Linked DNA regions of Callithrix jacchus. The protein of the gene in region 6 interacts with the protein of the main gene of each other region in a pairwise test. Links are inferred from orthologs where the notes say so. Each region holds a gene or a part of one and is shown on either strand. Other genes may lie near its edges. The genes, in order: FMO3, ACSF2, DNAJC30, TMEM234, RHEB, CREB3 and FA2H.

The links.
Region 1: the proteins of CREB3 (region 6) and FMO3 interact in binary tests that used the Homo sapiens proteins (3 or more experiments, as listed by UniProt). The two-hybrid records come from large-scale screens. The link is inferred for Callithrix jacchus from reciprocal best matches to the Homo sapiens genes CREB3 and FMO3.
Region 2: the proteins of CREB3 (region 6) and ACSF2 interact in a two-hybrid assay, tested with the Homo sapiens proteins (2 studies listed by BioGRID and IntAct). The two-hybrid records come from large-scale screens. The link is inferred for Callithrix jacchus from reciprocal best matches to the Homo sapiens genes CREB3 and ACSF2.
Region 3: the proteins of CREB3 (region 6) and DNAJC30 interact in a two-hybrid assay, tested with the Homo sapiens proteins (2 studies listed by BioGRID and IntAct). The two-hybrid records come from large-scale screens. The link is inferred for Callithrix jacchus from reciprocal best matches to the Homo sapiens genes CREB3 and DNAJC30.
Region 4: the proteins of CREB3 (region 6) and TMEM234 interact in a two-hybrid assay, tested with the Homo sapiens proteins (2 studies listed by BioGRID and IntAct). The two-hybrid records come from large-scale screens. The link is inferred for Callithrix jacchus from reciprocal best matches to the Homo sapiens genes CREB3 and TMEM234.
Region 5: the proteins of CREB3 (region 6) and RHEB interact in a two-hybrid assay, tested with the Homo sapiens proteins (2 studies listed by BioGRID and IntAct). The two-hybrid records come from large-scale screens. The link is inferred for Callithrix jacchus from reciprocal best matches to the Homo sapiens genes CREB3 and RHEB.
Region 7: the proteins of CREB3 (region 6) and FA2H interact in a two-hybrid assay, tested with the Homo sapiens proteins (2 studies listed by BioGRID and IntAct). The two-hybrid records come from large-scale screens. The link is inferred for Callithrix jacchus from reciprocal best matches to the Homo sapiens genes CREB3 and FA2H.

The regions. Positions count from the first base shown.
Region 1 is NC_133519.1:31,532,238-31,536,680, forward strand, and holds the start of FMO3 (flavin-containing monooxygenase 3), read right to left. Parts: upstream 3,061-4,443; 5' UTR 2,994-3,060; intron 1,312-2,993; 5' UTR 1,306-1,311; coding exon 1,174-1,305; intron 1-1,173. UniProt on the Homo sapiens protein: Essential hepatic enzyme that catalyzes the oxygenation of a wide variety of nitrogen- and sulfur-containing compounds including drugs as well as dietary compounds.
Region 2 is NC_133506.1:115,912,267-115,916,856, reverse strand, and holds the start of ACSF2 (medium-chain acyl-CoA ligase ACSF2, mitochondrial), read left to right. Parts: upstream 1-1,633; 5' UTR 1,634-1,661; coding exon 1,662-1,771; intron 1,772-2,280; exon of another isoform or gene 2,281-2,354; intron 2,355-4,590. UniProt on the Homo sapiens protein: Acyl-CoA synthases catalyze the initial reaction in fatty acid metabolism, by forming a thioester with CoA. Has some preference toward medium-chain substrates. Plays a role in adipocyte differentiation.
Region 3 is NC_133503.1:10,005,428-10,009,953, reverse strand, and holds DNAJC30 (dnaJ homolog subfamily C member 30, mitochondrial), read right to left. Parts: upstream 3,017-4,526; 5' UTR 3,009-3,016; coding exon 2,319-3,008; 3' UTR 600-2,318; downstream 1-599. Other genes in the region: BUD23 (18S rRNA (guanine-N(7))-methyltransferase), read left to right, coding at 3,209-3,256, 3,355-3,392. UniProt on the Homo sapiens protein: Mitochondrial protein enriched in neurons that acts as a regulator of mitochondrial respiration. Associates with the ATP synthase complex and facilitates ATP synthesis.
Region 4 is NC_133508.1:68,824,150-68,828,119, reverse strand, and holds part of TMEM234 (transmembrane protein 234), read left to right. Parts: intron 1-2,757; coding exon 2,758-2,850; intron 2,851-3,151; coding exon 3,152-3,210; coding exon of another isoform or gene 3,211-3,246; exon of another isoform or gene 3,247-3,809; coding exon of another isoform or gene 3,810-3,839; exon of another isoform or gene 3,840-3,925; intron 3,926-3,970.
Region 5 is NC_133512.1:96,706,481-96,711,234, forward strand, and holds the start of RHEB (GTP-binding protein Rheb), read left to right. Parts: upstream 1-1,821; 5' UTR 1,822-2,174; coding exon 2,175-2,226; intron 2,227-4,754. UniProt on the Homo sapiens protein: Small GTPase that acts as an allosteric activator of the canonical mTORC1 complex, an evolutionarily conserved central nutrient sensor that stimulates anabolic reactions and macromolecule biosynthesis to promote cellular biomass generation and growth.
Region 6 is NC_133502.1:142,640,856-142,643,351, forward strand, and holds the end of CREB3 (cyclic AMP-responsive element-binding protein 3), read left to right. Parts: intron 1-79; coding exon 80-148; intron 149-846; coding exon 847-931; intron 932-1,028; coding exon 1,029-1,113; intron 1,114-1,198; coding exon 1,199-1,533; 3' UTR 1,534-1,677; downstream 1,678-2,496. Other genes in the region: GBA2 (non-lysosomal glucosylceramidase), read right to left, coding at 1,991-2,257. UniProt on the Homo sapiens protein: Endoplasmic reticulum (ER)-bound sequence-specific transcription factor that directly binds DNA and activates transcription. Plays a role in the unfolded protein response (UPR), promoting cell survival versus ER stress-induced apoptotic cell death.
Region 7 is NC_133521.1:32,054,133-32,058,102, reverse strand, and holds part of FA2H (fatty acid 2-hydroxylase), read left to right. Parts: intron 1-2,578; coding exon 2,579-2,751; intron 2,752-3,970. UniProt on the Homo sapiens protein: Catalyzes the hydroxylation of free fatty acids at the C-2 position to produce 2-hydroxy fatty acids, which are building blocks of sphingolipids and glycosphingolipids common in neural tissue and epidermis.

The DNA.
Region 1 (4,443 bases), on a different chromosome or scaffold from region 6:
AGAATGTGGAGAAAAAGGAACACTGTTGGTGGGAATGTTAACTATAGTTAACTATAGAAAACAGTATGAAGATTTCTCAAATAATTAAAAACAGCACTACCATTTGACCCAATAATGCTGCTGCTAGTTATCTACCCAAAGGAAAAGAAGTTGATATATAAAAAAGATTCCTGCATTCATATGTTTATCACAGCAGTATTCACAATAGCAAAGAAATGAAATCAACCTTGTCCAACAAGGATGACTGAATAAAGAAAATATGGTATATACATACATACATATATATACACACACACACACAGAGACACATATGTATATATGCACACACCATGGAATACTACCCAGCTATAATACAGAATGAAATTATGTCTTCTGCAGCAACATGGATGGAAATGGAGGCCATTATCTTAAGTGAAATAACTCAGAAACAGAAAGTCAAATACCACATGTTCTCTCCCTTATGATTGGGAGCTATATCATGTATACACATTGACATAGAGTGTGGGAATAATAGACATTGGAGACTTGAAATGGTGGGAGAGTCGGAGGGGGTTGAGGTATGAGAAATTACTTAATGGGTACAGTGTACATTATTTGGGTGGTAGGAAAACAAAAAGCCTAGACTTCACTGCTACACATTATATCCATGTAATAAAACTGCACTTGTACCCCCTAAATCTGAAAAAAAATGTGAAAAATTATTGTGTTTTAAATGAGTAAATCATTTAATTATAATTTAATTATAAACCTAACTAATATTTACCATGAATTTTATGTCCAAGTGGCTCTTACTAATGATCTACCAAGGGAGAATTCTGTAACAGAGAATTCCTTTTTTTTTCTTTTGAATTGTTGGTTTTTATTTATTTTATTATTATTTTTTAATATATATTTTTTATTGTACTTTAGGTTCTGGGGTACACGGGTACATGTGCCGATCATGCAGAATTGTTGCATAGGTGTAACAGAGAATTTCAAAGCCCATTATGTAATTTACTTCTGACTTGCAAGGAGGTCACTTTCCAACCTGCTCTTAACACTGTGCTTAGTGGATTCCAATTCTAACAGATATGATAATTGCCATGGCAGCAGGTTTGGAAACGTGTGCACACAGCGTGTTCTTATATACTTCCCAACCTATTCCCCTGTTTATTACAACAACATGCTACTCACTGAAAATTTCCACAGGCCCCCAATGTCATTGCTCTTCTCAAAGCAGGTGGGCTCCAGTCCTTCCTCCAGACAGCTTCTGATGGAGGCCAAGCCACTCACGCCAGCTCCAATGATGGCCACTTTCTTCCCCATGGTCACCTGTGCAAAGGCCCAGAGAAAAATTCCAGCAACAACATGACTGAAAATTTATTACCTATTTATCTATTTATTTTGATTTCACTCTTAGGCCTAATAAAACTTTACTTTTTAAGAAACACCAGCTGAGTATGATAGTTCACGCCTGTAATCCTGGCATTTTGGGAGGCTGAAACGGGAGGATCACTTGAGCCCAGGAATTTGAGACCAACCTGAACAACAGAGTAAGACCCTGTCTCTACAAAAAAAAAAATCAGTCAGCTGGGTGTGGTGGCATATGCCTGTAGTCCCAGCCACTCAGGAGGCTAAGGCAGGAGGATCACTTGAGTTTAGGAGTTCCAAGCTACAGTGAGCCATGATTTTACCACTGCACTCCAGCCAGGGTGACAGAGTAAGAACTTATCTCTAAAAAACAAACTCCTTTAGTAATCTAACTACATTTTCATTTATCTCTAATTTCTAAAGAGAAAGTTTTCTTCTGAAAAAAATAAGCACTTTGTTTTTAGTCATCAGCTTTCCAAAATTAAGAGACTGATGGCACAGCGTACATATTTATCCTTTTTGCTTTTGGACTTGGTAATTTACTGTCTACAAAAATGAGTAAGCAGAAGAAATAAAAGAAGATTCACAACTAAAACACATGTAGACACATCCACCCACCACCCATATACATATGCATGTATATGGGAATGAAGAAACAAATCTATATGTATGTATATTTGTACACACACACATACATTCTGTACCTTCTTTCTATTTTGATAAAGATAATGAGGAACAAGATCTGAAGATGTCTGTATTTCAGTGTGCCTGTAGTCCCAGCTATTCAGGAGGCTAAGGCGGGAGGATCACTTGAATTTAGGAGTTCTCCCGACCAGTAGTAGTCCCAGCTACTCTGGAGCTATATATTCCTGTTGAGGCAGGAATATCGCTTGAGCCCAAAAGTTTGAGGCTGTGGTGAGCTATAGTTGTGCCACTGCACTCTAGCCTAGGTGACAGAGTAAGATCTTATCCCAGTGAAAAAAGAAAGTCAAGTTCTTACCTAAAAATAATCTTTTCCCGCTACCTTCAACCTCCTTTCTCCTCTAAGAAAATTACATTTCCTAACTTTTTCTGTTCCTGACACTGTCTTTAGGTTCTACTACTACTTCTCTCACTTTTTTTTCCTTTGTAGACAAAATCACATAGCTATGCAAAGAAATAGACTTGGATGATAAAAATCATGATCCATGATTCCCAGATAAACAAACTGCCTGAATTATGTCACTCTTATTCTAGCTACGTTCCATATAAAACTACAGCATTTTCCTCCTTCATTTACCCATCTCATCCTCAGCCCTTTACTATATCACCCTCCCTCCCTCCCTCCCTTCCTCCCTTCCTCCCTTCCTTTCTCTCTCTTCTTTTCTCCTTTTCTTTTCTTAAGATGGAGTTCTGCTTTTGTTGTCTAGGCTGGAATGCAATGGTGCCACCTCGGCTCACTGCAACCTCTGCCTCCCAGGTTCCAGTGATTCTCCTGCCTCAGCCTCCCAAGTACCTGGAATTACAGGCACACATTACCATGCCTGGCTAATTTTTGTATTTTTAGTAGAGACTGGGTTTCACCATGTTGGCCAAGCTGGTCTCCTACTCCTGACTTCGGATGATCCACCCACATCGGCCTCCCACCTTTTTTATTTTCCTACCCGTTCTTTGTCTTCTTTTCTTCTGTATGTCTATGTCCTGTCCAACTGTCTGGGCAGTTTGAAAGAGAAAATGCTCTAGTGAGCCCACACATTAGGAAGATTGTTGGAAAATGGGAGGAGCTGCTCTTAAAGAGATAGTCATTTCTTGGTCCTCAAATGGGTGAGCACCAACTCTCTGTGGTGGGTGGGACTCTAGGCCAGTCTCCCATGGTCACCCAGTTTCTGCTTTTCCTTTGGTTATAGTAAACACAAGCTGCTGTTTATACACTTGGACCCTTGCCCTCGGAGTCAAGGAATTTCTCCCAAGCGGTTCTCTCTTCCATTTCATCATGTGTTATTTCAAAGTTTACCTTGTTGTCCTTATTTCTAGTTATTTTGTGGGTACCTCATATTAGCCCTCCAAATATTGTAGAAACTTACCTACTTAATTGAGATAGCCCAGTAGGGAGGATGACTTTCTCTGCTCTCTCTTTTTAAGTTCTGCATTTGGAATTTTGGGGTCAAAGGCCTGTATTTCTCAAGCTTGTATTTATATGTTTCTGAGGAAAGTGTGTGGTCAGGGAAAAAGTCATATTGGCAGTAAAACAAAATAGATTGCACCTAACTCTCAGTCATGACATATAGTGAAATTGCAAAAAATTGTTCTCCTATCAACTATATTTCTATGTCACTTAGAATTATGACATGTCATTCATTTTATCTAGTTAACCCTTTCATTAAGGAGGTGATACTTAGCATAAACTGGTATATGTCTGATTTTGAGGAATTACCCTTTATGCCTTTTGAAGACAGTAATCTTCATCTCTAAAGTGTGTGTATGAGAGATTTCAAATCACTTGTAAAGCTCTGTGGCTTTGGGCAAGTCACTTAACCTTTCCAATTCTTGGTTTACTCATTAATAAAAATGGGGATAACTACACTATTAGCCTCTGTCTGGCTATATTTTTTTTTAACAAGGATTAGAAAATTAAAGGATATATACATATAAATACATTTATACATATGTACATATAAAATGTGGCATGTAGTTAAAAATGAGCAAATATAACTTGTAGAAAAAATTAAAAACAAGTCATAGATTCATGAAATTTTCTAGGGCTACAATTCAGATGACATGATTTTCTCTGCTCTCATTTTACATGGAACTCCTTTACAGTTTTTAACGCTACACAAATAGCATTAAAATAATGCAAAGAAAAGATTGTGAATACTTTATGAAGCAATACTATTCCTATAGCCTTATTAATTTAAGGACAGGCGGGACACACCCAATTCCTCCTTGGCCTCTGATGTTTCATCTCTCTAGGAGGTGAAAAGGCTGCCTGTTCTTCGCTGGAATATATTTTATCTGTAGTAGACACATTCATTAGCCCTGTCTCCTTTCAGCCTATCCTTTGATTGCCAGAGCTTTCTGCAGAGCCCCTTTGTAAATCTTCAGAGTCTCAAATGC
Region 2 (4,590 bases), on a different chromosome or scaffold from region 6:
AGAAGAGTGGACAAACCTACAAGATCAGAACCTACCCCTCACTTCATAGGCCCATAGAGGGGCAACTCTTTACCCAGGGTCACCCAGCAAGCTAGAGGCTGAGCCTGCCAGCCAGGGCTGGGACTCCAGACCTGTGAATTCCCCAGCACTCCCTATTACCTGGTCCGCTATCAGAGACAGTCTAACTAGGAAGGCACGTCCTTGTAGGCCCAGCCTCGTGTGATCTCTTTGTTCCTCTGTCTCTTCCTGCCCCAACCCCACAGAAACTGAAATGTGGGGACCCTCCCTAGGAGCTGGGCTCCAGGGGGGATTTGAGGTCACGCTCAAGATTATAAAGAGGCTCAGAGTGAACTTCTCATGACTGAAATGGAGCCAGAGTTCCCAGACAAGGGCAAAGGTTCTGTCAAGGCAGGATCCACCCCCAGCCACCCCTTCTGCCCTGTAAGGTTTACTTTATCTCCTTCCATCAGGAGAGAGGAGGTCACCCTGCCAGGGCCCTTCCCTTGTTCTTCTCCAGCTCCTTCCCTAGAGGAAAGATCATGGCTACGTGGGGCAATGCAGACCTGGAACACGTATACACTGTGCTGCTCTTTGGTGCCCAGTGCCACCTTTCCTAGCCTGGATCAGAGCTGGACTATCACCTTCTCTGTCCTGCAGCTCTGCCCAGGTCTTAGTACCCCACCTACCCCTGGGCCTCAGGAACCCCAAGGAGGGGCACAGTGTTGCTTTCTATTCACACCGGGGGTAGCACAGGGAACTGTGCCACAGGTCCCAAGACAGGCAGATGGGGGATGAAATACACAGGTCCCAGTCCCTGAGGCCACCTTACAGTGCACCGGCCCCAACCCCGTGCAGAGGGTCAAGGCAGAGGCGCCCAGGGGGGAGGGGAGGATGCCTCGTGTGAGATGGGGTACCAACTGGTGTCCCTTCTGAAGCTGAAATCTGGCCTCCGCTGGAACTCCGGCACCAGCAGGCCCGGTGGCGGCTCACAGTCGACACCCTTTGTCGCAGCTGCCTCCCCACCCCAGCGGGCCCTGTGCTCCAGTTGGCATGCCTCAAGGGCGCTTCGCGCCTGCTCCTTTGGCCTCTGGCTCGCAAGTAGCGGGCCAGCACCTGACCCGAGAGCTAAAGTGGTAGGGGATGGACAGGTCTTTTTTTTTTTTTTTTTTGAGACGGAGTTTCGCTCTTGTTACCCGGGCTGTAGTGCAATGGCGCTATCTCGGCTCACCGCAACCTCCGCCTCCTGGGTTCAGGCAATTCTCCTGCCTCAGCCTCTGGCCCCGCACGGATGTGCGGCTGGCTCTCCCTCTAGGAAATCAACAAACTTTTGCGCCTCTAAAGTCCAGGCCCCTGAGGATGGTTGCGAGGAAGATCTGTCTCAGGCTGCAGCTGGGGCCTTCAGATCCAGAGGAAACCAGGGCCATTCTTCGAGGGTGGGAGGGGGAGGGCCGCGGGGTTCAAGGGGAAGGTGGCCCTGCGCTAAGACTCCACCGCCGCGCCGCGCCACGCTCCACCCTCCCGGACCGAGTTCGCCGCACCCCATAGGCAGAGGCCACCCTCCCCGCCTCCCTGCCTGCTCCGCGCCCGCCCCGCCTCGGCTTACTTTAAAAAGTTAACTCGCGGGACGCAGGGCGAAGTGAGCAGTGGCTGTTTACGTCGGGATGCTGAGCCTGGGGAGACTGTGCGCCGGGAGCCCCGGGGTGTTGGGAGCCCGGGCTGCCCTCTTTCGGAGTTGGCAGGAAGCGAGGTTGCAGGGTGTCCGCTCCCTCAGGTACGGGGCCCCCGGGAAGAGAGGGGGCGGGGCGGTTCTCTGGGAGAGGAATTTGGGGGTCCCGCCGAGCTTAGGAAGCCCCATCTCTGGACCTCTGCAATGGGGGGTAGGTACCCACCCCTCCCTCGCCCCCCACCAGCACCTAGGCAATAGGAAAAGCTGGCTTGGCCTAGTGGACTGGGGCTTCAGTTGGTGGCTGCAGGGACTTGGAGTTCTGGTCCAAGACTCTCGATTCTCTCCTTTATGGGCACAGAGGGCAAGGAGTGTGGGCTTTCAGGAGACTATTCCGATGGGGAGGAGCAAGGGCCAAGGCCTGGGCTGTACCCTCAGGACACTGCCTCCGAGTTCTGGGCAAACTTCTCCCTTCATGGGCAAACTTGGGGATCAGCCCCAGTCTCCCCGACCCAGGCCGCTAAACTTAGCAGTCTCCTCTCTCCTTATCAGCTGCGGACTAACATAGCTTTCATTCTTTGCTACCTATTCCTGGGCCTATTTTCGTCTGTCCTCAGTGCGAGGGGTGGGATGGAAGCTGCAGATACAGGATGTGAGTTCCCAGCAGCTTCGCTGCCTCTTCAGCAGCACAGTAAGTAAAGCTGCCTTCCCGGTGTGGCCAGTCCCTGGGAGGACCCCGTGAAATTGCAAATGTGAAAGTGCATGAGTAACAGAGAGCAGGCCGCCACCCACCTATGCTATCAGCGCTGTTAGCGTCAGCACCACCATCGGGGAGCCGTGTGCACTGCTGAGCCTGTCCTACCGCCCAGCTTGGCCAGATACTAAGTCTGTGGTCAGGACACCACTGTCAACATCAGATGGGGTGTGGACCCGGACATGGAAAAGGGAGAGGAAGCCGGAACAAATCTGGGTCTCAGAGAACTAGATTTGGTTTTGTTTGGGAAAAGGCTAAGTGGGAGGAGTTGGAGGGACACACAGAGTCTTCTTGGACTGGAACCCAAGATCACACGTTTTGAACTTGCTGGTTCCTGAATGCTGGAAAGCATGCAATCACTCTGCCTAATTTGCCAGGAAACTAAGTGGAGGAAGGCTGCTCAGTAGATGGGATTGAGAGGAAGACAATGTGGTCCTCTTCCCAGTGACCCTGGGAAGTCACTCACCACTTCCTAGGGTCTCCCTAGGCAAGTTCAGCCCTCCCCTGACCCCCAAGTCGCTAATCCTCTCCCCTGGACTCGTGGGTGCCTGCTCTCAGGCTGGGAGGACTCTAAGGAAAGTTACTCCCCAAAGTGTACATATTTTATCCTACCAAATCAGGCCACAGGGGAGGCTGTCAGCCTACTCTAGCTCAGGAGTCTGCCCAATACAGAACAAACAAATAAATAAATACTAAGTCCTGCCACCTGGCAACATTTCCGACCTTTGACTTTTTTGTCTATAAACAAAATAGGTCACTTACCTGATGCAGGCCTTTGACCTCTGAGAGCACCAAGCTTCAAAGAAATTCTTATTGCTGTGTCAAGAGAAGACCCATTTAACCAGAGAGATGATTTTCTGAGTGTTTGGCCTAACTGCTTGCCATTTCTCCCACTCCCTTGTGCTTGTGCCCTTTTTGGCTGTGGTGGTTTTACCTGATTTCTCTCCTACTTTCCCCTTCAGAAGCCTCGGGGCTCAGGCCAGACATACTGGTTCAAGCCTGTAATCTCAGCACTTTGGAAGGAAGAGGCAGTGGGATCACCTGAGCCCAGGAGTTCAAGGCTGCATTGGGCCATGATCATGCCACTGCACTCTAGCCTAGGTGGCAGAGCAAAACCTAGATTCAAAAAATAAGAATAAAGGCTGAGTGGGTGGTTAATGCCTGTAATCCCAGCGCTTTGGGAGGCCCAGTTGGGTAAATCACTTGAAGTCAGGAGACCAGTTTGGTCAACATGGTGAAACCTCATCTCTACTAAAAATACAAAAATCAGCGAGGCATGATGGCATGTGCCTGTAATCCCAGCTACTAGAGTCGCTGTGGCAGGAGAATTGCTCAAACCTGGGAGGTGGAGGTTGCAGTGAGCTAGGACAGCACCACTGCACTCCAGCCTGGGTGACAGAGAGAAACTCCATCTCAAATATAAATAAATAAGAAGAAGAAATAAAGGCTGAGTGTGGTGACTCATGCCTGGAATCCTAGCACTTTGGGAGGCTGAGGCAGGTGAATCACTTGAGGTCAGGAGTTCAAGACCAGCCTGGCCAACATGGTGAAATCCCATCTCTACTAAAAATACAAAATTAGCTGGGCATGGTGGCACATGCCTGTAATCCCAGCTACTTTGGAGGCTGAGACAGGATAATTGCTTGAACCTGGGTGGCAGAAGTTGCAGTAAAAGGTTATATTGAGTATATATATATCTTTATGAGTATATGTGAATAACTAAATTATTATATATGATTATTATAGTAATAACTGTGTGCTTATATTTCTAATTATTTTCTAATTCAGTATTCATATGGGAACAGGCTGAGGCTTCAGATCCTTGCCTCAGCACTCGCGGGGTTTCCCTCCGACACCCTCCATGGCAATGGCTATGATCATATGAGACTGTAGACCTAAGGGAAAAAACCGAGGCAAAAGTTATTTAAGTAGAGAGTTCATTTGGGACAACTTTGAGGACTGCAACCCAGGAACATTGACTCGAGTTGCCCTGAATGTACGCTCTGATGAGCAGCAGTTACAAATGGGTTTTTAAAAGAAAATAAGAGGTGGTTCCTAAGTGACTTACCAAGAATGTACATTAAAATGACATAAGCTATTGATTCGCTGTACCTTGTTGTTTATATCACAAATTTTGTTAACATGAAGGTAAGGTAATCGGTGAAGCAGCTAG
Region 3 (4,526 bases), on a different chromosome or scaffold from region 6:
TCCAGCAGTTTGTTTTTCCAGAAAAGACTCTGTCCTGTTTTCCAAATATGAAACATAGTAACATTAAATGTTCTTTTAAAAAGTACACCTCCCCTCCCCCCAAGTCCAGGCTGACTGAACCAGACAAGTCTGAACCAGACCGGGCTCAAATCTCTTTGTTTTCTTTTTTTTTGTTGCCCAGGCTGGAATGCAGCAGCGGGATGGCACCTCACTGCAACCTCAGCCTCCCAGGCTCAAGCCATCTTCCCACCTTAGCCTCCCGAGTAGCTGGGACTAACTACCACACCTAGCATTTGCCACCGCACCTGGCTAATTTTTGTAGAGGTGGGGTTTTGCCGTGTTGCCCAGGCTGGTCTCCCTACTTCTGAGGTCAAGCGATTCATCTGCCTCAGCCTCCCAGTGTTTAGATGACAGGCGTGAGCCACTGTGCCAGGCCCCAGATCTTCATTACTGAATCATATGGTCACTGCAAAGCCCTGACTAGGAGTATACCCCCACTCTCCAAGGCAAGAGACAATCAAATATATATATATATATATATATTTTTTTTTTTTTTTTTTTCTTTTCAGGATAGAATAATGGAATGGTTTTCAAGAGGCTAAGCAGGACCAGCTGTGGGTTTATCCCATTTTACATAAGGATTTTACACAACACATTGAGTACAGGGATTGCACGCAATTATGGCCCTCAGTAGTACATCAAACCACTCCTGGCTTTGTTTAGACCCTAGACTTGGGCCCTCATCCATCTCGTAGACCTCTTGCGAGGATTTTCCCTTTTTACAGATTTACACTCAGTCCTGTGCGTAAACACTCGAGCACCTACAATCTCACCGCCAGCTCACTGCCAATGTCCAGTGACTCACAGTTCAGAGCGCTCAGCAGCAGCTCTGACCAAACGATGAGCAACTAGTTAACATGAAACAGAGGGGAAAGAAACCACGCCTTTAGTCAGCTCTGCATAAAGAACCAAGTCGCCACCTTGAACAGCAAGGCCCCCATCCCTCCGTAGTCCTGTCTACTCCCAAAGTCCCAAAGTTTACCCCAGCATCAAGCAGCCTTGTTTCAAAGGTTCACGCAGGGCCTGTGATAAGCACTGCAAGTTAAACAGCAGCAGGAGACTCAAGCACGGAGTCTGGCATTCCATTTCTGGGAGGGGCTGGGCTGCACAGTGTGCAATGGGGTTGGCTGGTAAAAGGAGGGCCAGGGGACAGCCACACTGTCCCAAGGATGAAGGCGGCCCTGCTAGCATCATGCTATAATCCCCACAGATTAGAACAATGGATAATAGGCTAGGCAAGGTGGCTCACACCCGAAATCCCAGCACTTTGGGAAGCTGAAGCGGGCAGATTGCCTGAGGTCAGGAGTTGAAGACCATCCTAGCCAACATGGTGAAATCCCCTCTCTACTAAAAATCCAAAAACTAGCTCGATATGTTGGCAGGCACCTGTAATCCCAGCTACTCAGGAGGCTGAGGCAGGAGAATAGCTTGAACCCAGGAGGCAGAGGTTGCAGTGAGCCGAGATTGCACCACCGCACTCCATCCGGGGCAACAGAGCGAGACCCCTTCTGAAAAACAAAAACAAACAAAACAATGTCAAATGATTCTCTCCTCTGCTGTCAGGCTCACAGAGTAACTTCTCCAAGGTCACACATTAATATGGGCCCAGGAACACACATTCCTTATGCTCAGTGACCTTGTTTCCTCACTCCCACATGCTATCAACAGAAAGGGGAGTGCCCCAGGGGGCTGACTTTAGAGGGAGGAATGGCAGGCTGTCCACAGACCCCATTCTTACCCTGGACCAGGTCTCACCTGCCGCTTGGGGAACTCACAGAAAGACAAGTTTGGTACAACCCCAGACCTTTTCTTTTGGCAGCCAACAAATGGTCACATTGCACATTTCAAGGTTACAGAGGAGCCCCACCGTACACACGCGGGGCAGGAGCAGATAAATCCTGCCCGAGGCTTTACAATCAAGCTACAGCGAGTGTTACAGAAGTTAGCCACATCTGGAAGCAGGAAGGCAACTTCTGGAAGAAGCACCCTGGAGACTCCAGGGACCCCTCACTCGTGAGCTCTCGGGACTCTTTAGCGTGGGGCCTCTTTCTCAGGCATATGAGGCCTCCTTTTCTGGACCATAGGGAAGGGATGTGCAGGTCATCGGCTATGTTGGGTGGGTCCGGGAGGGGAGGGGGAGCACAGTTCCTTCGGATCCCAGCTGAGGTAGGCTATCAATGGCCAAGAATTCTGGGGCAGGAAAAAAGGCCGTTTTCTGGGGGCTGGCTGGGGACGCTCCCCTTCCTTCCTCTCTCCCGCTAAATATAAAAGCCAACGATGACAATGGTGATGAAGATTCCGAAGAGGAAGAAAACGACACCCGTGTCTCGGATGTCCTCCCAGGGACGGCTGGTCAGGGCCAGAGATTCCCGTCGCTTGCGAAGAGCCTCCCGCCGGGCCCTCAGGCGCCGTTCCCGCTCCAGCTGTTCCCCGTAGTGGGCCTGGTAGAAGGCGTCAAAGTTGAACTTCGTGCGGTTGGCGTCGGGGGCGGTCCAAGAACCGCTGTGGGTCCGAGAGGTGGGCGGCGGGGGACGCGGCGAGCCGGAGTCGGCTGCGGGCGTCCTGGAGGGCCGGACGCCGGGTCCGCGCAGGTCCTCGTCGCTGAGCAGGCCGCGATCATACTTGCGACGGAGGGTGGCACTGCCCAGAACCACGTAGGCCTCGGAGATGCGGGTGAAGCGCTCGGCAGCCTTGGCGTTGCCGGAGTTGCGGTCCGGGTGGTAGAGAAAGCACTGACGGTAGTAAGCCGCCTTGATTTGGGCCTGCGTGGCTGTGGAGGGGACGCCAAGGAGATCATATAGCGCTGTGCGCGAGTACGAAGAGTCGCCCCGGGAATAAAGCCTCGCTCCTAGGCCCGGGCCGGGTGCAGAACGTTGTGGAAAGCCACGGGCCTGTAGCAACCTCCACGTTAACAGTCGTGGAAACAACAACCCACACTTGGCTGCCATCTTGAATTGATTCGGCAGGCGGGGCAAGAGAAACTGGCCAATGGGAGGCGCCGGTTGGTCGCCCTGTAGCCAATCAGGTAAAGAGGAGGGCGAAAGAGGGGGTGGCGCATGCGTATTATTAGGCGGGCGCCGGCTGATGACATAAAAGCCGCGCTCGCTCCGGGAAACGCCAGTTGCAGGCGTGCCGCTGAGGAGTGAGGATGGCGTCTGGTGGCCAGCGTCCGGAGCACGGCGGCCCCCCGGAGCTGGTAAGTTCTGGGGTCAGCGGGCACCCGTCTCCCCATTTCTACGGCCGCGGCGTCTGAATTCCTTCTCCACCTGCCATTTCTTTTTCTCTTTTTCCCAGTTTTATGACAAGAAAGAAGCCCGGAAATACGTTTCCAAGTGAGGGGAGCCCCGGAGTACTGCGCGGCGTCCGGGGGTCGGGAAGCGGCAAGTTGCCCGGGTTGCGGGCGTTGCTCGGAAAGCCCGTAGAATTTGGGGGTGCGGGGAAGGAAGGACCCGGGTGGGTGCCATTTCGGTCTTTGGTAAATCACCTTTAAATTACCGACGTCTCTGGGCCTCGGTGCCTCAGTGTTGAGGTAGAGGGGATCGCGCCTGCTTTCCGTGGGTGGTTTTCAAAGTCGAGTGTGTAACAGCTTGTCCTAAGCATGTGGGCGGTGGGTCCTGGCGAGGGGTCAGTCCTAGTGGGGGGGAAGGAAGTAATGTCCGTAGGGTGCTTATCCCGGCGCCTTGTTTGCCAGTAAGTCTCCACGACGGCCGTCGGTGTGGTACTGTCTGAATTTCCTAGAGGGTGGTTTGTGCAACTACAGACTTGAGGTCAGGTGGGATGGCCCACGCCTGTAATCCCAGCAGTCCCAGGGCTTTGGGAGGGTGAGGCCTCCCGGGAGGATTGCTTCCGCTGGGGTTTGAGACCAGGCTGGGCAACGCAGCAAGACCCCCCCCCCACCCCATCTCCGCAAAAAACAAATTAGTCGGGTGTCGGTGGCCCCCCCCCAGCCTCCCCAGTAGCTGGGACCACAGGCGCCCGCCGCCACTCGTGGCTGCTTCCTATGATTTTTTGAGATGGAGTTTGGCTCTTGTTACCCAGGCTGGAGTGCAATGGCAAGATCTCGGCTCACCGCGACCTCCACCCCCCAGGTTCAAGCGATTCTCCTGCTTCAGCCTCCTGAGTAGCTGAGATAACAGGCACACGCCATCATGCCCGGCTATTTTTGTATTTTTAGTAGAGACAGGATTTCTCCATGTTGGTCAGGCTGGTCTCAAACTCCTGACCTCAGGTGAATCCGCCCGCCGCGGCCTCCCAAAGTACTGGGATTGTAGGCGTGAGCCGCAGCACCCGGCCTATTTTATTTTTTAAATTAAAACGGGGTCTCTCATTCTTCGCCACTTCGAGTGCAGTGGCAAGATATCAGCTCGCTGCAAACCTCCGTCTCCCAGGTTCAAGTGATTCTCCTGCCTCAGCCTCCCTAGTAGCCGGAACTAAAGGTTCATGCCGCCACACCTGGCTAATTTTTT
Region 4 (3,970 bases), on a different chromosome or scaffold from region 6:
ATTACAATATTAGGATCTTTTTATTTCATCACCCTCTCTGCCTATATCCTTGAATATCCATCCTTTCTAATAACCAGAATAATAGTCACTATTTATGAAGCATCCACTTTAGCCAGGGACTATCCATGCATTATCACAGTTCATCTTACAACAACCCAACAAAAGAAATGGTATACTGCGATCACTATTTTACATGTGGGGAAACAAGGTAAGTGTTTGAATATCCTAACCAAGATTACAAGGGAAACTCAGATCTGCCTCACTCTGATGCCCTCACTCTCCCATTGCACCATGCTGCTTCCTTCCCTCATCTACTGCTGCAAACCAGACCTTAACAGCCATGACACTCCTTGTAAGGTATGTAAACTTAAGAAGGCAGCTCTGGGCAAGGCACAGTGGCTCAGGCCTGTAATTCCAGCACTTTGGGAGGCTCAGGTGGGCAGATAACCTGAGCCTAGGAGCCCAGCCTAAGTAACAACAACAAAAATACAAAAATTACCCGAGCTTGGTCGTCTGTGCCTGTAGTCCCAGCTGCTCAGGAGGCTGAGGTGGGAGGATCACTTGAGCTCAGGAGGTTGAGGCTGCAGTGAACAGTGACCTCACCACTGCACTTCCAGCCTGAATAACAGAGTGAGACCCTGTCTCAAAAACAACAAAAATGAAAAACAACAACAACAAAAACAACTCTTTGTAGGTGGGGTTGTTATATCAATTTCTTAGATGGGTAATGCCTCTATGCCGGGGTCTCCCAGGGGATGAGGAGCAGGACAGTTCCCTTCTCTGCCTCACAAAGGCAAGGCCTGGGAGTGCTGGGAAAGAGGGTGCTGAGGAGCCAGTGTGAGCATCTGGTCTGCAGTTGAGTCTTGTTACCATGGATAACTCAGCTGATTTGTCTGTTGGTCTTTTTTTATATGTATGTGGCTCTTTTTTTAATGTGATAAGGACACTTAACAGGAGATCTACCCTCAACAAATTTTAAGTTAACTCCATTAGTCTTTTTCTTTTCTCCCCTCTTTTTTTTTTTTTTTTGATGGAGTCTGGCCCTGTCGCCTAGGCTGCAGTGCAGTGGCTTGATGTCGACTCACTGCAACCTCCTTCTCCTGAATCCAAGCACTTCTCATGCCTTAGCCTCCCAAGTAGCTGGGATTATGTGCCAGCAAGTCTGGCTAATGTTTGTATTTTTTTTCTTTTTTTTTTTTTTTTTTTTGGTGCCTGCTTTGTTCCTTCATAGTTTTTTGTATTTTTAGTAGAGATGGGGTTTTAGCATGTTGGCCAGGCTGGTCTGGAATTCCTGACCTCAAGCAGTCCTCCCACCTCCACCTCCCAAAGTGCTGAGATTAACAGGCATGAGCCACCACACCCAGCCAACTCCATTACTCTTTTTCAAGTTTGCTTATTGGCAGTCAGCCCCCTGGAACTTCAAAATTAAAGAACAGATCCTGAGCTATGATACCCTCTATCCACACCATAGGTCCAGCCCAATGTCCTGAACAGGTACCAGGCTTCTTTCTTCTGACACTTTCTTTTATTTTTAACTCCATAAAGCCTGAGCTTGGGCTGAAACAAACAAAATGTGCTTCAGCTGATGTTCTGCTTTGTCCATATCCATTTAATTCAATAAGAGTGCAGACCTTGGAGTCAGACAAACCTCAGTTTAAATCCTCAACTTGCCTTAGTTTCCTTTATGCAAAATGGTGATAATCCCTTCCTTGCAGTGTTATGAAAATTGAAATATGTACAAAGAGCACCTAGGCCATGGTATATGCTTAATAAATGGTGGCTACATGGCCAGGTGTTGGGGCTCACACCTGTAATCCCAGCATTTTGGGAGGCTGAGGTGGGCGGATCGCCTCAGGTCAGGAGTTTGAGACTAGCCTGTCCAACATGGCGAAACCCTATCTCTACTAAAAATGGAAAAATTAGCACGACATGGTGGCAGGCACCTGTATCCCAGTTACTCAGGAGTCTGAGGCATGAGAATCCCTTGAATCCAGGAGACAGAGGCTGTAGTGAGCCAAGATCACACCACTGCAGTCCAGCCTGGGTGACAGAGCAAGACTCTGTCTCAAAGAAAAGAAAAAAATAGATGGTGACTGTGCTTGGTGTTACTTGACTCTCTACTGCATCCTTTGGGATTTGGGTGCCTGCCTACGTGTCCAGATGTCCTTGAAATTTCACAAGTTCTTTTTGAGTGCAAAGACCTCATTCTCATTATCAAACCAGGCTGGTATCAGACCTCAGAGTTCAGGAATCCTGGGGAATGCTGGAATCCTGGGGAACCACTGAACATGGAGTCAGAATATTTGGGTCTGAATCCTGAAATGTGCTGTGACTTCATCTGGAAGATGGGGTTATAATACCTTCTTTAAATATATGAAATGATGATGATGGGAAGTGTCTTGTGTTTAGAAAGGCATTTCTTGGCTGGGCACGGTGGCTCACGCCTATAATCCCAGCACTTTGGGAGGCCGAGGCGGGTGGATCACAAGGTCAAGAGATCGAGACTATCCTGGTCAACAAGGTGAAACCCCATCTCTACTAAAAATACAAAAATTAGCTGGGCATGGTGGTGCACGCCTGTAGTCCCAGCTACTCCAGAGGCTGAGGCAGGAGAATTGCTTGAACCCAGGAGACCGAGGTTGCAGTGAGCCGAGATGGCGCCATTGCACTCCAGCCTGGGTAACAACAGCAAAACTCCATCTCAAAAAAAAAAGCATTTGTTGCATCTCAGGGATTCTTTTCATTCTGACCACCCAGATCTGACCCTAGCTGTACCCATCTGTAATTCTCTGGCCATCATCTTCACACTGATTGTTGGGAAGGCCCTTGGAGAAGATATTGGTGGAAAACGTAAGTCAGGCTACTGCGAATGTGGGATGCAGCTATCTGGGCCTCAACATACCTGTGTTCCTTCCCAGAACCCATCTCCCTGGAATGGGTGAGGACAGGGCCTCTTCCCATCCTGCCTTTTCCTCTGCAGCTGTCCTGCTTCCTTGTGGCCATCAGAGTTCCCTTCCCCTGGACAGTCTGGGGACAGAGGCTGGGGTGGGACCCAGGACCAGACCCCATCTGAGCCCTTCTTACAGCCCTGTACCAGCTCTTATTGGCATGGCTGAGCTCAGAACCCCTTGATTTCTGTCCATTATCCCAGGAGCAGTCGCTGGCATGGTGCTCACCGTGACAGGAATTTCACTCTGCATCACAAGCTCAGTGAGTAAGACCCAGGGGCAACCGTCTACCCTTTGAGTGGGCCGAACCCATTTCCAGCTCTGCTGCCTCCTGGAAGCCCCTGGGCCATGAAGTGCTGGCAGTGAGCAGATGGACCTAGCACCTCCCATCTCTGGCCTCAGCTTCCTCCTCTTATGGGGATAACAGTTACCTCATGGATCACAATAAGAGAACAAGAGTGAAAGGGTTTTATAACCTTCAAGTGCTGTTCACCTACTGGGATTTAGCACAGGAGACTCGACGCTTCACCCTCAGCAACCTTTCTGCCCCAGCATCTCTCTTCCTGCTGTCATCTCAGGCCCCCAGTTAAGCCACCATTATGTGGCCTAATCTGGACTATCATGGTGGCAGTTTCCATGGACTGCAGAACCCCAGCTGCATGGAAAAGGCCAGCTACAGACCAAGCCAGAAAGCAAACAGGAGGCCTCCAGGGCTCAGTCAGAGCGCCTTGGCTGACTGAGGGGTGGAACTGAGGGGAGGAAGGTGCCTCAGAGTGGCAGATGCAGGAGATGAGCTATTAGCCTTGCCTGCCCCACCCATGAGGTGGACAGAAATCCTCACTGCCAGCCTCTCTTAAACAGGTAGCAGCTGTGAGCCCCAGCGCCACCTAACTCCAGCACCCAGCACAACACCTGGAGAGTAGTAGCTGTCAATAAATCTGTGGTAGACAGAGGTTAATACATTACTATTTTATTGTGACAAACCTGCTCCCACGTTTGTGGCCTCTTCCAGGCTCAGCCAG
Region 5 (4,754 bases), on a different chromosome or scaffold from region 6:
ATTTTTTTTGTAGAAACAGGTTTTCGACCCGTTGCCCAGGATAGCTGAGTCCTTTCTTAAACCAAACACATTCTCCCCACTCTGGAATAAAGGAATCTTCTAAACCTTTGGATCTTACTTTAAAGGACTTTAAGACAGCAATTGGAAAACTTCTTGAATGAGTTTGTCCTTTATGACTGTGCTTCACATCTGTATTACCAACATTCTCAGACCAGGGCAGTGCTTTCAAAATTTTTGAGGCAACCCACGACAAGAAACCTTACAATGAATCCCAATACACAAACATATGTAGCAGATCTACATGTATCCACACACGCACATACACATACTTGGCCTTACTCATTTTTTTAACTCACCGCTATACTGATGAGGACATACGCAGTTTTCTCTTCTATTTTTTTTTTTTTAAGGAACACTAAACTGATTTTATAATGCAAGTTTAGTAGCATCTGTTCAAAAATACCGTGGTGAGGGTATCCAGATCCACAGGATAAAAACATGACCATTTTACAGGAGAGTGCATTTTAAGACCCTTAGCTTTAAAATAGTTAAATATAGCATAAACCTCAACATTTCATGAAAACATAGAGCTTCTAGACATTGATCACTTCCGGCTGGCTGCCTGGGGATCATCTGTAGATCCCCAAGAACACGAATGCACACCCCAGCCCGTCCTCCGAGTGCTTCCGTGGGAAAGCTGGAGGGAGTCGCCCTTGGGCTGGGTGTTCCAATTCGACTCCAGTCACTCTAAACCTTCGTACGCTGGAATCCAAGGCCTGTCACTCAGCTTCCCGGGCTTCATTCCTCCCCACCGCTCGCTGGGAAAGGACGAAGGGCCTTGCCCGGCCTCTGCAGGTCCCCACTGCCAAACAGCCCGGGCAGAACAGGAGCGGGTTCCCGGGCGCGGTGGAGCCTCTGTTAACTCGGCAAGCGCCAAACCCACCAGCAGCTACCACCCCTGGCCGGCCAGCCTGCTGATCCCTCAACCGCACCTGCGTCCCCAGCCCGGCTCCCTTCCCACGCCACTCTGCCCCGCACCCCTGGGAAGGCTGTGCCCACGCCGCGGCCAGAGGTGTTCCCGGAACCCGGCTCGGGCCTGCCCGCCGCACCAGCCGCCCCGGCGCTGGCGGAGAACCGGCTTCCCGCCCTGGCGCTGTTCCGGGAGGCGCGTCGAGCTCCGCGCGAAGCGAAGCGGACGCCAGAACCACAGGCTCGCCCTGTTTTTAATGAAATTCCTAACACTTTGAATTAACGCAGACTCCATGCTTCCCACAGTCCTTCGGCCGTGGGTGACGCTTAGTCACCACCTACATCCTCAAACACAGACACGAACGCTAACGCAGCACAAGGGGAATTTTCAAAAAAAGCCCCGAGGGAGGAGCCAGTCTACCCACAGCCCGCCCCGGCCACGCGCCTCGCGCCCTTCACGGGCTCAGCAGGCGCGAACCCCACAACCGCTCAGCGTTCCGCCAATCACCACGCCTCCCACCTATTGCCCCGCCCTGCGCTCCGCCCCGGCCAATCATCAGGAAGCCACCGTTTGTCTCTCCGCCTCTCCCGCTTGCACCCAACCGGTTGAAAGTTTGAAGCCTTCAAACCTCGCAGGCGCCCAAAGCCGCGGTAGCAGCGCGCTGTATTTTTAGCACCCGGGCGAGCAGCCCCACCCTCTCCCGCCCCGCCTTTTCGCCTCCCCAATGGGAGACGGAGTTTCCGCCACGTCATCGCGCGGCTGTGCAAGAGCCGCCCAATCGGCGCTCGGGGAGAATGGCGTAATTAAAAAGCGGCGGAAGAAGATGGGAGGGTCATGACGCAGCGAGTTTCAGTCGTGACTTTTCCGGGGGCATCGCGGCGTCCCCTTTTTTTCCCTTTAAAGTAAAACGTCGCCCCGACGCACCCCCCGCGTATTTCGGGGGGCGGAGGCGGCGGGCCGCGGCGCGCGAAGGGGCGCCGCTGACGCGGGCCGGTCACGTGGGCGTGTTGTGGGGGGAGGGGCGCCGCCGCGCGGTCGGTTCCGGGCGGTTGGGAGCGCGCGAGCGAGCGAGAGGCAGCCGCGCCCGCCGCCGCCCCTGCTCTGTATGCCGCTCTTTCCCGGCGCGGCAGCCGCCGATCGCAGCATCAGGAGCCGCCGCCGCCGCGGTTGATGTGGTTGGGCCGGGGCTGAGGAGGCCGCCAAGATGCCGCAGTCCAAGTCCCGGAAGATCGCGATCCTGGGCTACCGGTCTGTGGGTGAGTGGCCGGTGGCCGCGGGGCTTCCTCGCGCCGCCCGGGCTGGGGCCTCGCCTGGGCGCCGGGTCGCGGCCGGGCCTGCGAAGTTTGGAGCCGGCGCGGCCATGTGGCGGGGCGGGCGGGGGCCGCGCGTTTCGTAACCACCATTTTGAGCGGAGGTGGTGGCGGTCGGGGCGGCGTCCGCGCGGGGCGAGGACCTACGGGAGCCGGGCGCCCTCCGCGGGCAGGGCAGGCAGGTGGCTGCGGGGCGGAGGGCGTGGGAGGCGCGGGGCGGGGGCCGCGGACGAGTGTGGGGCTCGTCTGGGGAAGGGAGGTGGCGCCGGCGAGCCGCGCGGGAGGCTCCCGCGAGGAAGGACTTAAACCTGCCTCCCCGCCTTCGCCGTGGGCGCGCGTGACCGGGGCTGGCGGTCTCCCCCACCCCGCCCCCGATGCAAAGAAAAGAAAGTCCATGGGATTTTAACAAAGGAAGTAGCACCTCGGCTTCCTTCCATCTGTGGTGAAGTTTACCCTTGGAGAGAAAACTGGAGACTTAGAGGACATTTGGGCACCGAACGCAAGTTTCTACCTGAGAAACCTAGGGGAGCCCCCAAAAGAGGCCGCTCTGGAGGCCCTGGAGATGCCACTGGCGGCCGGGGCAGGCAGGCAGAGGAAAAGGAATGTCTGATCTCTCGGTGCCCTGTTTTTCTTCGGGAAGGAATAAGGTCAGGGACTTAGAACCAGGCTGCTGAAGTCATTCTGGAGTCTTTCTGTTTTCTTTTTTTTTCTTCCCCGGAAGGTTGATACACATTTGAAACGGTTCCTAGCAGCCGCGGTCTTGCTGAATACGGTGGCCTAGGGTCGGGTTGCGGGGGCGGACGGGATGCCACAGAACGAGCGGTTTCCTGTCCTATGAGAAAGCAGAGCGATTGAACTTAGCCGGGCTTCAGGGTGAGGCTGTATTGTCTCCGACATCCGGAAGCCTGGAGGAATTACGTTCGTCTTTTGGTGCTGTTTTGAAGTAGCTCTATGGAAGACGTGCACTGGGCCACAGTTGGGGGAATGGGGAGGTGAAAGCGAGGGTTCAGAGGCTCCGGTGATTGCGGAACGGGGTGACAATAACTGCGGTGGAAACCTTGTACCTGCCTGCCGCTCACTGGGTGAACTCCCCTGCTGCGCTTTCCACGGCCGCTGCCAGGCGCTGTGCTCTTTGACCAAGATCGGCCTCTGCTGCTTACTCATCCTTTTACCACCTCTCTCCGTCGGGGGTAGCGGGGTGGGAGCATCAAGAGCTGAAAGAAGCTTGGCTTCTACCTGAGAGATGCGGGATGCCTAGAGTCGTGGGTCGGGGGGGAGCTCTTGTGCGATGCAGTCCTGAATCCAAAGGGATGAATAGGTGTGGCAGCTTTAACCGCTGCAGCCAGAAGTAACCACGAATCTAATGGAGGCGTTCAAAGTCACTAACTGTTCAGATATCAATGTGGAACCTGGAATCCAACCTTGATTGGCAGCCTGATCCATGCTCTTGTCTCTGAACTCTTGATTTCCTCCTCTGCATTTTGCGGAGTTGGGACCTCGAGGTATCCTGGCTCGTGGGTGAGCCCTCCGAGTATTTATTGCCAAGTATTTGAAAATAGTAGACCTTGATAATCACGGTGTAGGCCACAAGTACCTCGGCTACCTGATTTTTTTTTTTTTTGAGACGGAGTTTCGCTCTTGTTACCCAGGCTGGAGTGCAATGGCGCGATCTCGGCTCACCGCAACCTCCGCCTCCTGGGTTCAGGCAATTTTCCTGCCTCAGCCTCCTGAGTAGCTGGTCAAGAGATCGAGACCATCTTAGTCAACATGGAGAAACCCCGTCTCTACTAAAAATACAAAAAATTAGCTGGGCATGGTGGCGGCTACCTGATTTCAATGCAAGAGAATGATCCAAAGATCTTGATTTGCCCTTTTAAAATGTTGAAATGGTAGCTTTAGTCTTGAGTGAGCAGGTCTACTGTTTCATCACTTTTTTTGCTAAAGAAGTTCCTTGTGTCCAGTTGAAATCCATTCTGTTTTATCTTCCCTCTAATTAGCGTCTTACTGAGGGCTGAGATGAGAGGCCACCCCTTAGCCTTCTCTTCACAAACATTTATTTTAAAATGCTGCTTGTGCTAACTACAGTGCTAACTTGGTCTCCGGTGGGATACAGGGGCACTTTTATTCCCTATTTTCTGTCTTTAGTATTTCTTGTTTCTGCAACCTACTCCACTTCTCCATATTTATTTTCATGCGCAGTCATGATTAAACGATTTTGGAAAGGTTAGGTTGCTTCCAATCTTGTGTTTGATTTGATTTTTTTTTTTTTTTTTGAGATGGAGTCCTGCTCTGTCACCCAGGCTGGAGTGCAGTGGCGTGATCTCGGCTCTGCAACCTCTGCATCCCGGGCTCAAGTGATTCTCTGCCTCAGCATCCCACGTAGCTGGCATTACAGGCGTGCACCACTACACCCGGCTAATTTTTGTATTTGTGGTAGAGACGGGGTTTCACCACGTTGGCCAAGCTGGTCTCAA
Region 6 (2,496 bases):
ATGAAAGGGAGAGAGACTCAGTTGTTAGATTTTTGAAGGGAGGATACAGGTCATATACCCATATCTTTATTTCCCCCAGGGTCTTGAAATACACAGCCCAGAATATGGAGCTTCAGAACAAAGTACAGCTTCTGGAGGAACAGAATTTGTAAGATTCCCTCCAAACCACTGCCTTCTTGTGCCCCTCATTTAATGCCTTCTCACTTTTTTTCCCTTGCCTTACACTTGATTTCTAACTGGGCAGCTCTCAAATGCTAGGTCTGGTGCCTGGCCTTCACTAGGTCTCTGATTCCAAGAAGCTCATAGTAGTGGGGAATACATTTACAAGTAACTAAGAATACAGTAGGGGGGAATACATTTATAAGTAACTAAGAATAAGTACCAAGAAAGAGAAAGAGGGTAAGAAAGACCTCATGGACTTTGATAGTAGTTAGGATTCTGGAGTTGGGAATCCATGGGAAAGCATTCTAGGCAGAGAGAATACAACATAGTCCTCTTGGGCTAGAACTCTTAACACAGGTGAGCTGGGCCAGAAAGTAGAGAACACAGAGAATGCCTGGTGAGGATTATATGCATAGCTGATCAGACAATGGGGAACTACTGATGATATTTGCAAAGGAGGTTAAGTCAGGGCAGAGAAGTTTTTTTGTTTTTTGTTGTTTGTTTTGTTTTAACGAGGAACTTCAGGCACTTTGTCCACAGAGAGGAAGAAGTCATTTGCAAAAATAGAATGAAAATAAGAGAGAGGATCCAGTGCAGAGATGGAGGTGTCCTGAATAGGAATTTCATTGTGTCTTAGGGTGCCAGGCCAGAGGATGCTCACCACTGGCCCCCCTTTTCCTCTAGGTCCCTTCTAGATCAACTGAGGAAACTCCAGGCCATGGTGATTGCGATATCAAACAAAACCAGTAGCAGCAGCACCTGTGTCTTGGTGAGGATGGTGATGAGGGGAGAAATCCTTTGCTTAGTTGGTAGGGACAGCAGTGCAGTCCAGAGCCCTTCTTCATCTCCTTTTTCCTGTGCTCTAGGTCCTGCTATTCTCCTTCTGCCTCCTCCTTGTACCTGCTATGTACTCCTCTGACACAAGAGAGAGCCTGCCAGCTGAGCATGGAGGTAAGAGGCTTAAGGATAGCTCTCAGGCATGGGCAAGGGGAGAGCCTGGGTTGGCCTCTGAAGATTGTCTCCTTTGTCTCCTCAGTGTTGTTCCGCCAGCTTCGTGCCCTCCCCAGTGAGGACCCTTACCAGCTGGAGCTGTCTACCCTGCAGTCAGAGGTGCTGAAAGACAGCACACACCAGTGGCTGGACGGCTCAGACCATGTACTCCAGGTCCCTGGCAACTCTTCCTGCCTGCTACACTACATGTCTCAGGCTCTCAGGGCAGAGCGTCCCCTGGAGTGGCTATTCCCTGACCTCTTCTCAGAGCCTCTCTGCCGAGATCCCATCCTCCTTCTGCAGGCAAATCTCACAAGAAAGGGGGTAAGGCTTTCTACCTATAGCCCCTCTGTCATCCTGCAGGACAGATACTCAGGCTAGATACAAGGATATGTGGAGGGGTCTCAGCAAGAGCTTGGTGGGCTCCCCATCTGTGTCTGAATAAAAATGGGTGGGCGAGGGCTGGCTGCAGATTCTGTGCCCTGTCAGAAAGACTGAGGGCTCAAATACACCACATTTACTGGCTTTCTGGGTCTTTTATTATTTGTAGCCATGTGTCTGTCACCCCATGAATGTACCTGGGGAAATCAACTGACCTCGCTGAACATTTCACACAGTGAGGGAAGGGGTGAGGAAATAAATAAATAAGTGATTCCAATGCTGCCTGGGTTACCCCCAACCCCCATTTACTGGCACAGTTGGGTGGGGAGAAGGGAAAGGGTATGATTGTCCTGATGGCTCAGGGCTGCAGGAGGTTCAGAAGGGAAGGAGGAAAGGCCAGGCTGGAGGCTGGGATGTTAGTGCTTCCCTCCCACAGTTCAGAGGGCTCACTCTGGGCTCAGGTTTGCATGGCCTCCTTTGGTCCAAACATAGGCCCTGTCCTTAGTCCTGTGTCCTGTTTGACTTTTGGCCTGGAGGCCTTTTTGTGCTGCTGCTGTTGCAGGGCTAGCTGCATGGCCCAGATGCTCAGTGGCCGCATGTAGGCCAGTGAGCGGAACACTCGCTGCTGGCAGTATGCCTCTGGTGTCTGGAAGGCCAGACCCAGGCGCTCCCACACGGTACGGTAGCAGCCTTCAGCTGTCTGGAAGCCCTCCCAAGTCAGGCCCTGTTGGGAGAGATGACAGTTATACATACTAACTTGGCATCCTCTGAATAGCCACTTCCACTAGATAGATGGAGACAGTAGAGTCTTTGCCTTCAGGGAGCTCCCAGCAAGTGGGGGAAATAACTATGACCCACAGACAGAAGCCTGAAGGCAGGAGCTGGAATGCATACCAGGGAAAAATGGGAGGCTTTATGGATGGATAAGATGGCATTGGGTTATATCTTGAAGAAATGTGGTGG
Region 7 (3,970 bases), on a different chromosome or scaffold from region 6:
TCCTGCCTCAGCCTCCTGAGTAGCTGGGGTTACAGGCGCACACCACCGCCCAGCTAGTTTTTGTATTTTTAGCAGAGATGGAGTTTCACCATGTTATTGTTATTCAGGCTGGTCTTGAACTCCTGACCTCGTGATCCGCCCACCTTGACCTCCCAAAGTGCTGGGATTACAGGCATGAGCCACCACACCCGGCCAGGATACAGATTTTAAGAACTTGACAAGCCAATGGAAAGTGACAAAGTGGAGCCATGAGTCCAGCCTCACTTTTTTTTCTTGTTTTCTTTTTAGCTCTTTGAGACAGGAGGGTCTTGCTCTGTCATCCAGGCTGGAGTGCAGTGGTGCAATCACAGCTCACTGCAGGCTTCAATTACTGGGCTCAAGTGATCCCCCTGCCTCAGCCTCCTGAGTAGCTGGGACTAAAGCCATGGGCCACCACGCCCTGCTAATTTTCTTACTTTTTGATGAGGTGGGAACTCACTGTATTGCCCAGACTGGCCTCCAACTCCTGGGCTCAAGCGATCCTCCCACTTCAGCCTCCCAAAGTGCTGGGATTACAGGTGTAAGCCACCACATTCAGCCTAGCCTAGCTTTTTAGGAATCTTGATGATGAAGAAGCTGAGTCCATGATGGGAAAGTCTTGCCTACCTCAGAAAGATGAGCAGAAGAGCCAGGAGAGGAGAGACTAAAGGAGGCCAGAGGAATCCCTTGGGAGGGAGGGTAGGAGGAGGCTGCTGAGGGTTTGCACTGCCAAGCAGGGGGAGCCTGGCAAGTCATGGACTTTGTCCACATCCTCACTCATGCAGGCAATGCCAGGGCTTCCCTGTAAGGCTGTGGTGAGATGAAAGGAAGTCATCCATGGAAAGCCCTTGGGCGGCACCTGGTGCACAGGAATCGGTCAGGACACATGTGCTGTTGCTGTTTCTCTGATCATCCAGCACCTGTGTGCCGGTGCACACCTCTTCCCTGAGAAGCAAGTTGCCGGGAGTATGTGGAGGGGATAGCTCCCCGCCAACCCCAGGGCCTCTCTTCTCTGTGAAGTAGGAGGCTGGGTGGAAGGAAAGGAGGTGAAGGGGAGCAGAGAAGGTCCAAGCGCAGCGAGGAGGGAGCTGAACCTGAAGATGCTCAGGGATCACCTTTCGGGCTGTGTCTAGGGTCTTGCAAAGGTCAAAGATGCTAGACCCACTGTGTGACTCTCCATGCTCAGCAGCTTGGGGATGGGGTGCAGAGGCAGATTCCCATGATGACCCAGGGGGAGAGTTCATGGGAGCAGGTGTGGGAGATGGAATACGGGTTAAAAGAGAATGGCTAGGCTGGGCGCAGTGGCTCACGCCTGCTATCCCAGCGCTTTGGAAGGCCAGCCTCACTTGAGGTCAGGAGTTCAAGACCAGCCTGGGCATCATGGTGAAACCCCATCTCTACTAAAAATATAAAAATTAGCCAGGCATTGTGGTGGGCACCTGTAGTCCCAGCTACTCAGGAGGCTGAAGCAGGAGAATCATTTGAACCCAGGAGGTGGAGGTTGCAGTGAGTCAAGATTACGTGCCATGCACTCCAGCCTAGGCGACAAAGCAAGATTGTCTAAAAAAAAAAAAAAATGGATGAGGGTGAATATGGAGAAAACAGGAGCAAGAGCTGAAATCTCCACAAGGTCAAAGAATGAATGAAGTGAAGGGAAGAACTGAAAGCGGCAAGGACTGCAGGCTGTCTCCAGAGGGCTGGGCAGTGGGAAGCTTGTGCTTGCAGATGGCGCCCTCTCCAGTCTTCCCTCTCCACCCAGGCCGGTCATCTTCAGAGTTTTCACATATTCCTCCTGAGCTATGATTTCAGGTCTTGTCTGTTGAGATCTCAGTGCTTGTTTTCTCTTGTCCTTCCTGCCCCACAGTCCCTGGTGTTTCACTTTCCATCATTAACACCCTGGAGGCCGGGTGCAGTGGCTCACATCTGTAATTGCAGCACTTTGGGAGGCCAAGGCGAGATAATTGCTTGAGTCCAGGAGTTTGAGACCAGCCTGGGCAACATAGCAAGATCTCATCTCTACAAAAAAAATTAAAAATTAGCTGGGTGTGGTGGCGTGCACCCGTGGTCCCAGCTACTTGAGAGGCTGAGGTGAAAGGATCACTTGAGCCCAGAATGGGGAGGCTACAGTGAGCTGTAATCACACCTCTGCACTCCAGCACTCCAATCTTTCAACTTGGGTGACAGAGAGATATGTTGTCTCAAAATAATAACAATGCCCTGGCTCAGGAATGTCACCTTCTCTTCTCCGATGTCCTTGGGGCAAGGTCACCCTTGCAGGTAAAGGTCCAGCCCCGGTCATAGCCATTCCTCCCACAGCCTCTGTAAGGAGGCCTCCAGTCAGTGGTCCATCACTCCCGTAAATGACCCCCAAGACCTAGTTCAGAGCCCCGCAGCCTCCTTCCCATTTTGACCCCAGGGCCCCAGCAATGTGGCCTCGCCCCATAGCTGTGGGACAGAGGGCAGCAGTTCCCAAGCTGATTGAGGTGGCAAGGCGTGGACGCCTAGAGCTACCTGGCTGCTGTGCCCCAGTCCTCACCTCGCTCTCCCTGCCACCCTGCAGAGCATGCAGTGGCGGTGCCCAAGTCCATGTTCCCTGGGCTCTTCATGCTGGGGATCTTCCTCTGGAGCCTCATCGAGTACTGCATCCACCGCTTCCTGTTCCACATGAAGCCCCCCAGCGACAGCTATTACCTCATCACGCTGCACTTCGTCATGCACGGCCAGCACCACAAGGTGAGCGGGGCAGGGTCCCAGCCTGGACCCAGCAAGTGCAGCCCAAACCGGCTGGTCCGGCAGCCGGAACCAGCTTCAGGTGCTGCGGAGCCTCCTGGGAGTCTGGCTGTGGGTTGGGAGTGACAAAACTTTTGACATGAATCACAGGGGCAACTGGATCAAGCATCCGAACCTGAGCCAGGCGGGCACAGAGTGGATGTGCAGAGTCATGCTGACCCACAGCCCTCTGCACCCCTGTTTATCCATCACCTTTAATCCTCGAAACAACTCATTCATTTGTTCATTCATTCAGCAAATGCCCAGTGAGTTCCTTCCGTGTGTGAGACACTGTTCTAGACATCATTGAATAAAACAACAAAAAGCCTTGCCCTCATGGAGCTTCTCCTGAAAACAGTGCCAGGATTCTCCCTGTTCCACAGAGCAGGAGACTGAGGCCTTGGGGAGCTAAGGAGCTTGCCCCACATCACACCTGGCGCAGTTAGGATGTCCTGCCCCATTCTGGGGATTCCAGAGTCTGCGCTCTCAATCACCCTTTCCCCTGAAGCCCTTCAAGGACTCCACGACAGTCCCAGAAGCTGGCCCTAGAAGATAGGTCTGTCCAGGGGAAGCTGCCTCCACTATGCCCCTCACGGCCTCTCTGACCCTGCACTGTGCTGTTCCCCAGCCGGTCTTCACACTCCATTCTCTGCTGGCTGTAAATCAGAGAAAATGTGGCAGATATGGTGCTTTCAGGATACCGGTTTAGACCCTTATGCTGCTCATGCTGAACGTGGGTTTCACATCAGTTTCCCAGCAGCAACTTAATCTAGTTCATCTCAATGAGCCGATTCAGGGTTTAATCAGCCACCTAGGAAAGTTCTCAGGTTGGTTGGGTGTCGCCCTCCCAGCTCTCCTCAGAGTTGATCTGCATCCTTGGGGGCTTTTCTAGGGGCCAGTATCAGGGTGGGTGCCCAGTCCTGGGCCAACCCGTCCCTCAGGTATGCTCTCAGAGGCAGTGCAGCCCAGGCCTGCTCTGTGTCCTCCAGCCTCACCTGGCCTCTGCTCTCCAGAGCTCGCTGCATCTGCTGCTACATTCCTTCCCCATTTGTGAAGCCTTTTCAGAACCTCTGCCCCGTCAGCTATCTTTCCTATCCACAGGGGACACAAGAACCTTCTGGGGACCTGATTAGGCTGTTCTGGGGCCCCAGGGGCTATCCCAGGCTCCCTCTTCTGGGACATT